Canis lupus familiaris: one gene and its partners. The protein of the gene in region 3 interacts with the protein of the main gene of each other region in a biochemical or structural test. Links are inferred from orthologs where the notes say so. Each region holds a gene or a part of one and is shown on either strand. Other genes may lie near its edges.

What was found.
Region 1: of the proteins of CLSPN (region 3) and USP20, one has a biochemical effect on the other in vitro, tested with the Homo sapiens proteins (2 studies listed by BioGRID, with this or other methods). The link is inferred for Canis lupus familiaris from reciprocal best matches to the Homo sapiens genes CLSPN and USP20.
Region 2: of the proteins of CLSPN (region 3) and CSNK1G1, one has a biochemical effect on the other in vitro, tested with the Homo sapiens proteins (2 studies listed by BioGRID). The link is inferred for Canis lupus familiaris from reciprocal best matches to the Homo sapiens genes CLSPN and CSNK1G1.

What each region holds. Positions count from the first base shown.
Region 1 is NC_049230.1:54,096,527-54,100,692, forward strand, and holds the start of USP20 (ubiquitin carboxyl-terminal hydrolase 20), read right to left. Parts: upstream 2,924-4,166; 5' UTR 2,802-2,923; exon of another isoform or gene 2,680-2,801; intron 1-2,679. Other genes in the region: C9H9orf78 (telomere length and silencing protein 1 homolog), read left to right, coding at 3,112-3,194, 3,533-3,592.
Region 2 is NC_049251.1:29,107,782-29,111,430, forward strand, and holds part of CSNK1G1 (casein kinase I), read right to left. Parts: intron 3,574-3,649; coding exon 3,296-3,573; intron 2,665-3,295; coding exon 2,557-2,664; intron 1-2,556.
Region 3 is NC_049236.1:6,475,276-6,478,924, reverse strand, and holds part of CLSPN (claspin), read right to left. Parts: intron 3,261-3,649; coding exon 3,152-3,260; intron 2,637-3,151; coding exon 2,188-2,636; intron 1,574-2,187; coding exon 1,409-1,573; intron 1-1,408.

The DNA of each region.
Region 1 (4,166 bases), on a different chromosome or scaffold from region 3:
AGGGCATGGGTTTGGGGCCACCTCAGGCTGGCAGTTTTGTGGGGTTAGTAGGCTGGAAGCAGTGACTGGTCCCTGGCCACTGAGAAGCCACAAACCCTGGAGTGCTCAAGTAAAAGCAGAAATATAGACTGAAAAACCCTGAAACCGCAAAGCAGGAGAGGCGCAGAGGGGTTCATGCCAAAAGTCTCATAGACAGCAAATGGCAGAACAGGGACTCCAGTGGGGAAAGAGGCTCAGAGAAGGGAAGGGTCATGCCCAGAGTCACATGGTAAATTGGCAGAGCTGGGGCTTGAACTGAGAGTCAGGACCTAGAATTCACTCTACTGTTATATCATGTTACCGACCTAACCACAAATGAGAATATATCAATTTAAATTTGCAATTCGGTCCCACCTCCTATTCGTGATTCCCTCACCTCACTCTATTTCCATACCAGTCATCACCCGCTAATATACTTTACATACTTATGTTATTAGAACCTAACGTCCATGGTGCCTGGGTGGCTCAGTTGGTTGGGCGTCTGACTCTTGATTTCTGCTCAGGTCATGATCTCAGGGTCGTGGGATAGAGAGCCCCGCCCTCAGTGTGGAGTCCTCTTGTCCCTCTTCCTCTACTCCTCCCCATTATCCCCTCCTTCCTCATGCTCTCATTTTCCCTCTCTCAAATAAATAAAATCTTAAAACAACAACAACAACAACAACAACAACCTAAAGTCCACTAGATCAGGGATCTTTCATCTCTTTTGTTCCCTGGCATACTTCAAGCACCTAGAACAGTGCCTGCTTCATATAGTAAAAGCTCAGGAAATACCTGAATAAATAAATTAGTCCAACAAAATTTTATTGAACACTTACTGCAGCCAGGCTGTGAACTGCAATGGCTTTGCTTCATCCCAAATCTACCTAGACATTAATGTTCACTGAACCCTGAAACAAGTCTGACTCCAGAAAGGAGCTGCTAGCAAACCAACCCAAAATGAGCCAAACCCATACATTTCCTTAAACCACCACTGTCAAAACCAAAACATGACACATCTCTAAAGAGAACCCAAATTTCCTGGAGGCTCCCTCTGAGAAGCACTTTCATCTCACCCCCCAAAAAGGCCCAGCAACACTTAAAGAGTCTGCAGCCCCTTTGCCCAGCCACCCACTGCCAGATTCACAACTGCCACTTTCCAAGCACTGCTTTTGCTAAACAGATCTCAGACCTGCCACAACCCAGGAGGGGAGTAGCACGGGGCACTCTGGCCCTGCCAAGCAGGGACAGCTCATTGGTACCAGGTGCTCCTGCCTGGGATGTCAGAAGAGAAGAGGGGTCTAGAAATGTCCTTGGCCTTCTGGCCCTCTCCTTAGTGCTGTCCAATACCTCCTAGTAGGAGGGTTGCTGGGTGGGCAAAATCAGAGCCACCTCTGAAAAGCGTGACGTCTGCAGACATGGAACTCCCTGGGTTCCCGCAGCAGTGCCCAGGGAGCCTCCCCTTCAGCCAGCAGGGACAGGGTGTCCAGTGATTCCCAGGTGCATCTGGGGCTCGATGAACCAGACTGCAGAAGGCAAGACTTTGAGATTTTAATATATGGCTTTTGACCAAAGCCAAAAAGCTGTTCCAAGAAGTCCTGAGTCCATCTGTCTCGGTCCAAGGAAAAAGAGCAGCAATCTCGAGAGACTGTTCCAGAGAAAAGGAAGGCATTCCAGAAGTGCTGCCCTGCTTCTGAATGGTCTTCCAGAAGAGGAAACCAAAACAGTCTCCATCAGCGCCTCCCCCCAACCAACCATCACAACAGCTACAGCAAACATTTACTGAGCTTCTACTGTGCACAACCTGCAGCAGAGGTGGGCCTGCCACTGATCCCTGTTCCACCTTCGCGCTGGGTAACCTTAGGCACCTATTGCCTTTCTGAGCCAAAGTCTCCTCGCTTGCGAAATGAAAAATAACTCGATCTACTTCATAGGATTGTGGGAGTTCACAGAGACGATGCTTAGCCCGGTGCCTGCCACACAGCAGTGCTTAGTAAGAGGCAGTGCTTTCGGGGTAAAGGACCGGCCTATACTGAGAAAGGGAAAACTATTTAAGAGGTTTCTAGAAGTCCTGTAAGCCATCCTCGATACATTTAGTTATCTCCTAAGCGGTTCGTTGATGCCTGTTTGCCTGTTTCTTTTCAAATAAACGTAATCCTCACAGCATCCTCGGGGTGGAAAGGCGGAGGGCAGGGCGACAGTCGTCGTGACAAAGGACGAAAACAAGGCCCCTGCAGGTCCGGGGAGGCGGCCGGCAAGCACACGACAAAGGGCCCTCTCTCTGCCCTCAAACCCCCCGGAGTGGGTTCGAAACCTCGGACGCAGGGATGAAGTGGCTGGAGGCCCCCACTAGCGGGGCAGTCGGCGCCAGGACCTTAATCTACCATTGCTAAGAGGCGGTCATCTTTTATCCCTAAAGAAAAAAAATGCACGTCAAGGCCCAGACCCTGGGGGAATAAGTCAGCGCCCCCAGACGCCGCACTCGCGCTTTCAACTCGTGCTGGGTCGGGCGCCGCAGAAATAGGAGATGGCGGCCCCCAGTTCCGGAGCAGCAACGAGCCCCCCAGGGTTGCAAGTGGGGCATCGGGGCCCCGAGGGCACCCCCCGGCGCCGCCGGAGGAGGGGAGAGGGCGGCAGCGGCCGGGGGTCCCGGGCTCCGCTCACCGGGCAGCGGCGTCCTGCGCACCCGGCAGGGCCAGGCCCCATCCGGCCCGCAGCCAGGCCAGGGGGGCCCCTGCCGGGAGAGGCCCGGCCCCCGAAGCAGCCGGCTGCGGCCCGGAACTCACCTGCCGTCGCAACCGCGCCGCCGCCGCCTGTCAGTTAAGCGCACCCACAGCCGCAGGGCGCAGGGCCGTGGGACCCGCGGACCGCGCCCCGCCTCCTGCCCCTCGGCCGCCCAATCGGAGAGGCGGACGCCACGGCTGGGGGCGGGGCCGGCGGGCAGTGTGGGCCGGGGGCGGGGCCAGACGAGCGTGGGGCGGGGCCGGGCGGGGCCGGCGCTGGGCTCGCTGCGCTCTGACCGCACTGCTACGCGCCGGAAGCAGCCCCGGCCCGGGCACAGGGGCGCGGCGGCGGGACCGCGGGGCCGGCGCTACCATGCCGGTCACCGGCAAGAGTTTCCGCCGGCGCCGGGCCGACTCGGAGTCGGAGGAAGATGAGCAGGACTCAGAGGAGGTTCGGTGCGTTTGGGATGGGGCTTTCAAGGGGCAAGAAGAGAGAGCCGCCCGTGGGACTCCGCCCCCGCGAGGCGCCTCTTTGTGAGCCGAGATTGTTGTCCCTTTCTGCAGACAAAAAAACTGAGGCTCCTAGGGTTGAGGCCCCCGCCGCAAGGCCGCACGGTTGGGAGAGGTGTCCCCAGGATGCACAGTGGATCTGACACCCAGTGGTTCTAAGCGCGGGGTCGTCTCCTGGACCATTGTGCCGGCCGTTCGGCATCTGGGCCGGGCACCCGTCGAAGCCGCCTTTTAAGGCTGGGTTCCGCCGAGGGTCTCTAAGTCTGTGCGTTGCCTTTTTTCAGATTAAAACTGGAAGAGACTCGCGAGGTGCAAAACTTGAGGAAGAGGCCCAACGGGGTGAGGTGGGTACCACCGGGGGACCCGGAGGAGGAGGAGGAGGAGGCGGCGGCGGTGGTGGCAGGGATACGCCCCCGCCTGGGTCGCCGTCGCGATGACCTCAGAGCCTCTTCTCTTGACACACTGTAGGGCGTCCACTGCCCTGAAAGGAGTGCAGCGTTGTTTAAAGATGTTTAATCAGGAGATGGTCTCAGCTGTGTGGTCTTGAGGTTTGCTCCAGAGCTGCAGAAACGGGTTATTAACTCGTGGTTTTATTGCACCCGATATATTAACTCATGTTTTTCTTGGACCCGATTGTGAAATGCACATTTACTGTTAGAAGTGTGGAAAATTTAGAAAAGTGTAATCAGAAAAATAATCGGCGCCCATACTTCTCCCATCCACAGGTAACCAGTGTTAGCATTCAATGTTCTGGCCAATCTGTTTTGTCTCTTTTGTAGAGATTGTGAGTGCTTTCCTTCTATGCTGTTTGCAACTCATTTTCACATTTCGGGCATTAACACTGTGGGTTATTTTTCCAGAAAAACTTTTTAGGGGCAGCATAGTATTCTGCCACGTGCATGTGCCATAATTTGTCAG
Region 2 (3,649 bases), on a different chromosome or scaffold from region 3:
CAAGCGAAACTAAAGGAAATAAATACCTATTTTAGTTTGAAATATTCTGAAAACTTGAGTGGGCAGATATGCTGACTTCACTGACTACTTAAATTATTTTTTTCTTTCCATATATTTTCTATTTAAATGTACCTTTCATCATAAGGAATATAACCTCATCACAGAATAGTTTGGAAAAATATTATCCACAATATTATCAGTTGCAACACTATTTCTGTTAATAAATTGGCATTATCTCCTCTCGCTGATTTTTTTCGTTTTCCCTTCCCCTGAGGGGAAACAAGATGTATTTCTAATTTTGCAATCTGATTTCTTCATTCTACAAACCATAAACATTTTCAGTTGCCACAAGTTTTCCAAATATTATTTTAAATGGCTACATAATATTCCACTGAATAAGTACACTGTAACTCACTTTATTATAGCCCAGTTTATTCAATAAAAGATTTGAACAGGATCCATAACACTTCCTTTAGGATTAGATAGATGGATCGTTTCTAAATCTGTTTCAAATCACACTGCAACAATTTTATGCACATAACTTAATCTAGATCTTGGGTTGTTTTATTATGATTGATTCAAAATACTAAGATTTTTCTATCCGAAAGAACAGTAACTTCATCCAATTACCTTCTGGAAAATTTGTAACAATTTGCAGAGTCCAGAGCAATGTATGAGAGTGGCAGTTTATGCACTCAGCTATACTTTTAACAAGGGAAGGCAAAAGAGAAAAACTGCAGAAGTCAACAGTACTCTGTTGTCAAATCAGAGGTCAGTCAAATCATAATTCTTAGCCAACTACTTTGATTAAAGCGTATAACTATGGACCCAATTAGTGTACATGATTTGCTAACCCCTACCTTTTTGCCTATCTACTCTTTCTTTTAGCTACTAATACATAGATTTCCTTCCTTTATACTTTTTTTTCTTACCAAGCCATTTTGCTACAAGTATATACTTATGGTGAGTCTATCTGTTATTTGTATATACTTCACTTTACCTATATGTGTATGTATTTCTATGTGCTATGTGGTTTCATATGTACATCTGAGATAAATGTTTTTGCATTTTATTATAAAAATATTTGTGAATATTAAAAAATGAGGTCAGGGGTGAGGACAACAAGCTAATTTGATAGGTGATAATGACTGTGTGTGTGTGTCTGTGCGCGCATGTGTATCTGTTTATTATCCTTTGTTTATTTATCTACTAGGGTCCTCAGTTTTCTCTTAGCAATGTGCAGTTGACTCTTGAACAACATTGAGGTTAGGTGCATTGGCCACCATGAAGTCAAAAACCCCCATATAACTTTTGACTCCCCCCAAATTTAACTACTAATAGCCTATTGGTGACCAGAATCCTTACCAGTAATATAAACAGTCAATAAACACATATTTTGTATGTTACATGTACTTACAATAAGGCTAACATACTATATACTGTACTTACAATAAAGCTAGAAAAAAATGTTACTAGGAAAATCAAGAAAGAAAACATTTACAGTATTGTACTATATTTATTGAAAAAATCCACATATAAGTAGACCCACACCTCTCAAACCTGTGTTGTTCAAGGGTCAATTATATATGATATAAAGATGAAAGTCGTCATTTTACTTCCCAATCAGTGACCCCTTTCTTTAAATGTTGTCAGATTTGTCGATTTTTGTGTGTTTGCCTCTCCTGTCTTTAGGCTGAGGGAAGCCTCTCACACTGACCACTAGTTTTTCAAACTATGAACACTGAAGGACTGATGACATGGCCTTCTCTGGAGTGGCCTAAAGCAAAGCTGAGTCTTCACTACACCATCTCAGATATTGGCAAGTTCTAGAATTAACCTGGGAACAGGGGCAAAAGGGGGAAGAGAGGTGCCAGTTTATGCCTACGTCAGCTGAAGTCTAAATTACCTACTCTTCTTTTCTTATAAAATTTTTAAAATTATATTTATATATTTTTTGTTTATTTATTTATTTATTTGAGACAGACACACACACACACACACACACACACACACACAGAGGCAGAGACATAGGCAGAGAGAGAAGCAGGCTCCATACAGGGAGCCCTATGTGGGACTCGATCCCCAGTATTCAGGATCACGCCCTGGGCCGAAGGCAAGCGCTGAACTGCTGAGGGAACTGCCACCCAGGCATCCCTTACCCACTCTTCATAACCAGCCAAACAACAACAACAAAACCCTCAGCATTGGCAAGATTGACACACTGGACTGCAGATGAGGCTCAAAATAGGCTTCTCTGTTCATCCTGTATGTTCAGCAGGTCTTTCAAGGCTGTGGCAGACTTTTTTTTCAGCCAACAGACTTGGACAAGCCTAAATTCTCTCGACTGGATACTTGATGTAGGTCACCCAGCTGCATCTCAGCAGCATTACAAAGCCCTGAGGGATGCTGGAGGGCCGCAACACACCACTGAGAGATGGCAAGTTCTTTGTCTTTAATTTCAATGTATACACTGAAGCAGAGAAGCTGAAGACTTTCAGTGTTTGTATTATCCACGAAGAGGAAGAATGTCTGAAATAACGAAGGCCCAGCACGTACCTGATTTCGGAGAGGCTGTTGTTGTGATGGCCGGTCCCTGTGGGTGTGGCTTTCTCGTGTTATTGCAGACGCACCAGAATCTACATGAACTGACCCTACTGGCGTAGGCTGGAAAGACAGAACAAAACATCAGATGGAAAATGGGCCAACTTAATGCCTCCACAAAGGAGAGCATCATTCTAATTGTAATAAAACACTAGTGATTATTATTTTCAGCCACCAAGGACAGTTTCCACTTTTCTTGTCTTTTGTTTATCTGCAAAAGGGAGGCCGCCTGGTCCTCAAGAGCTCACTGGAGAGTAGCTTACCGTGGAAAATAAGAAAAACATTCTACAGTGATGTGTTAGCATGCTCTTAGGCACTGTGGACCCCTGGCCAAAAGAGCCAATTCGAAAGTTTCTTATGGGGCTGGGTTCTATCTACTCTGTAGAAGTCAAGTACCTTATCAGCTTATGTAGCACCAGTTTCTGGATCATTCAAATTAAATTTCTTCTTAAGAATTGGCTTAAGTTCTGCTATCTTAGGACATACTGGTCATAATCTTAAAAACATATAAAGGAGTTGCTCTTATTTCCTAACTCTAGTAATTGCAACCTATGGCAATCACCCTGAAAAGGTTGGCAAATGTAAAGTCTACAGTCAAAGGAATGTTTTTTCTACAGACTCAAGCAGAAAGTCTGGCAAGTCAAGTGGTGAGGTAGCACTGGTTTAAAGTGAGGAGGTAAAACAGGATACTTACAATGGGCCTTCCAACCCAATCGTAGGCATAGTCAAACGTGTAGCCTTTCCTTTCAAAGAGGTCTGTGAAGAGGGTCCGTAAATACTCATAGTCAGGCTTTTCAAAGAAGTCTAATCGCCTGACATATCGCAGGTAGGTTGCCATTTCTTCTGTAGAAAAGAGGTGAAAGGCCATGCTCATGAGTTGAATGCTTCCCATGGCGAGAAGCTCTGGGCCAACCCAGGAATATCTGGTGTTTTCTTTATGGCCCAAGTGAAAGTGATAAAACCTGTCTTGGTCTAAATGACAATAAAAGGAAATGTGAATTTTCTGGAGAGCACCCTTATCTAGAGATACCAAGTCATGGTCTCCACC
Region 3 (3,649 bases):
TTAAGCGACCAAGTCATGATTTTAGCTCAGGTCATGATCTCGTGGGTTATGGGATTCAGCCTTTGTGGGGCTCTGTGTTGAGCAGGGAGTCTGCTTGGCATTCTCTCTCTGTCCCTCCCCCTACTCGCTCGCTCTCTCAAGGAAATAAATCTTTAAAAACATTATTAAAAAAGAATTAAGCTGAAATAAGAGGAAATTGCCTACTCAAAAGATTGCTTTTGTATCCCAACATCACATCATGCTACATTAATAACAAGTCAATAATTATTAAATATAAAGTTTTAAACATATAGCATCCCGGGTTACCTAGATGGCTCAGTGGTTGAGCATCTGCCATTAGCTCAGGTTGTGATCCTGAGGTCCTGGGATCAAGTCCCACATCAGGCTCTCCACAGGGAGCCTGCTTCTCCCTCTGCCTGTGTCTCTGCTTCTCTCGAGACATATTTAAATAAATTTATTTATTTATTTACTTATTTATTTATTTATTTATTTACGATAGACACAGAGAGAGAGAGGCAGAGACACAAGCAGAGGGAGAAGCAGGCTCCATGCCGGGAGCCCGATGTGGGACTCGATACCAGGTCTCCGGGATAGCGCCCTGGGCCAAAGGCAGGCGCCAAACCGCTGCACCACCCAGGGATCCCCATATTTAAAAATGTTTAAAAAAATAAACGTATAGCATCTCTATAAAGCTTAGAAAAAAAAAAAGCTTAGAAAAAACTTTGCTGCCTCAAATGGAGCTTGAGCTCTCATTTCTTACACGCCTTTATTATCTTTCCCAATAACTCCCAAGGAGCTAAAGATAATCTTAGCAAGAATAATTGCACTTCCAAACACTCAGGACAATGATGTTTCACTACTGATACCTTCCCAGAAACACTTTTTTTTTTTTTTAAGATTTTATTTATTTGAGCACACGAGAGAGAACATGTGTGCACAAGCAAGGGGAGAGGCAGAGGGAAAGGGAGAAGCAGACTCCCCACTGAGCAGGGAGGACCATGCGGGACTGGATCCCAGGACTCTGAGATGACCTAAGCCAAAGGCAGGCAGTTAACCGACTGAACCACCCAGACGCCCCACCAGAAACACTTTAGGTTCATTTCTTAGAGGCCACAGGAAAATAAAACTTGTATCTCTGCCCCATTCATACCTGTTTCTTATACAATATAAAGGCTCACTTTTTTCCCCCTGACATCCTATGAGGGTACTCAAAATACTAGCTTCCACACAAGTTAGCACATCTATCACTTGTACTGCCTGATTCCAAAATTAACAGCCAGAAAACTTAAATCAATTGCCACATGTTTTTCTTCAGTTAAAAAAAAAAAAAACTTCCAACAGTAAATCAGAAAATAAAGCAAAGGTTAGAAGCAGTGGGTTAGCTCTTACGCAATCATCTTTTACTTGCCTTGTGCTTTTTTACTTTGTTTTTCACAGCTGCCCTTATCGATTCCAAAGACTCTTCGTCTTCCAATGCAGAGTTAGTTTCCTCCTCCTCCAACCCAGTTTCAAAAAGGTCTTTATCCACGAGAAGACAGCCACTATCATTAAATGGCTGTTTCACATCATCTTCCTGGATAACACATAAAGAAAAAAGCTAAATCCAATCACTCAAACTCCAATATTCCACAATATAATAAGCTAATTTGGATCAGGCAATGAAAAGCCCATACATAGTACATCAACAGACAAATATATGGCATTTTAGAACAGTCTCCTGGGCCCCTACCCACAGTCATCCTTTGAGGTCCATGCTGTGATTTTACTGCCCAAAACCAACTTAATAAACAGTATATATATTTTTTGCAAAATCAATTAAATACTTATTAAGCAACTACTTTATAAAACTTGAAGATGGTTTCTCTAGTCAGCAAACCAGACTTGACGTATGGATGCCTAAAAAATTCTCCTCTGAAAGTTAATTTTCATCAAATCAGAAGCAGCAGTTATTCCATACGCTTGCAAAGAAAATCAGAAATCTACTTTATTTGGAAGTGTCCCCTATTTATCTAAAATGGAGAATGAGACCAGCAAGTTTTAAATTCCATTATCTCAATACTTGCAACGCAAAACAATCAACTCGAAGCTATATTCTGCGTGCAGAAACCTCAAGAACTAAAAGCAACTTGCTCTAAGATGTTAAGTTCATCCACCTTAGAAAGAACAAATTTGTTCTTTTAAACATACCTCACTTTTCGTTTCCTTCTTTTTTAGCCGCCTGATTTTTTCCATCTTTTTTTCCTCTTTCTCAAGTCTTCTCTTTGATTTTACTTTTGCTTTTCCTCCAATTCCTTCTTTATCACGTTTGGGTTTTTTGGAAATCTTTCTGTCGACTGTGAAGTCCACAGAGTTTTCAGATTGGAGACTCCGCTCTAAGCAAGGCATCACCTGGGTTTCAAGGTTTTCCTGATACAAAGACTCCTCGATGTCACTTTCAGCACTGTCTGCCAGAGTTTTGTAAATCCTTCTGACTTTTCCATTTTTTCCGGCATATAAGTTCTCTTTATTTTCCTCCTCAACACTGTCATAGGGAGTTTGCTCTGGGGAGGCATTTGTGTCCTCTCTCTCAGAATCACTGTCTTGTAGCACCTTCTTGCTTTTCAATTTCTTACTCGTGAATATCTCTTCATCTGAATCTGGAGGAAACAATTTTTTTTAGAGGTCTACTGTCATTCGGCCCTCCTCCTAGTCCCACTGGTCTTCAAAAATATCCAATTATTCAAGTGCTATGTCACCTCGTGAAATTATGTAGCTACCACTAAGAACTGATTGTAGCAAAGCAAATCTAAAAATAGGTTTTGAAAAACATTTTCCCTGGAAAAATGTCTCTTACTGAGAAATGTAATTATATATATTTACAAAGTGTAAAGTTGTTCTAATTCTTCTGGCAGATGTTAAAAATCCTTTTATTAAAGGATGAATGCATGCAACAAGGCAATGTGGTAGCTTCTAGACATTTTATACATTTAATAACATAATAGAAATAGCTAATGTCAAAAGGCTACAAGCACTATTATTTTGTTTATATAATAAGACAAATAATACGGTTAAGAATAATTTAACGAAACAAAAGGATAATGAAATTAATCCAGTCCACTTACAACCCAAGCTCCTACATTCTATTCTTAAAAATAAAATCACTATTACAAACCTCCATCACTCAAGGGCACAATTGTTTCACAGCTGCCTTGTCCACTGTCTGAAGGACTATTGGCTCCTTCCTGTGAAATGAGCTTTGGATCACTGATTTCTAGGTGAACCTAGAAAATGAGAACACACTTTGCATTAACCAGCTGATGACAAAAAGCTCTAAATATCTAATGATTCACAAATCATCATAGGACCATAAGACTCAAGTAAGGAAAACACCAATACAATGGTTCAAAGAGGGATCCCTGGATGGCGCAGCGGTTTGGCGCCTGCCTTTGGCCCAGGGCACGATCCTGGAGACCCGGGATCGAATCCCACGTCGGGCTCCCGGTGCATGGAGCCTGCTTCTCCCTCTGCCTGTGTCTCTGCCTCTCTCTCTCTCTCTCTCTCTGTGACTATCATAAATAAATAAAAAAATTAAAAAAAAAAAAAACAAAAAACAATGGTTCAAAGAAGTGATGACATTAAGAATTACTGCACAAGGGGTGTCTGGCTGGTT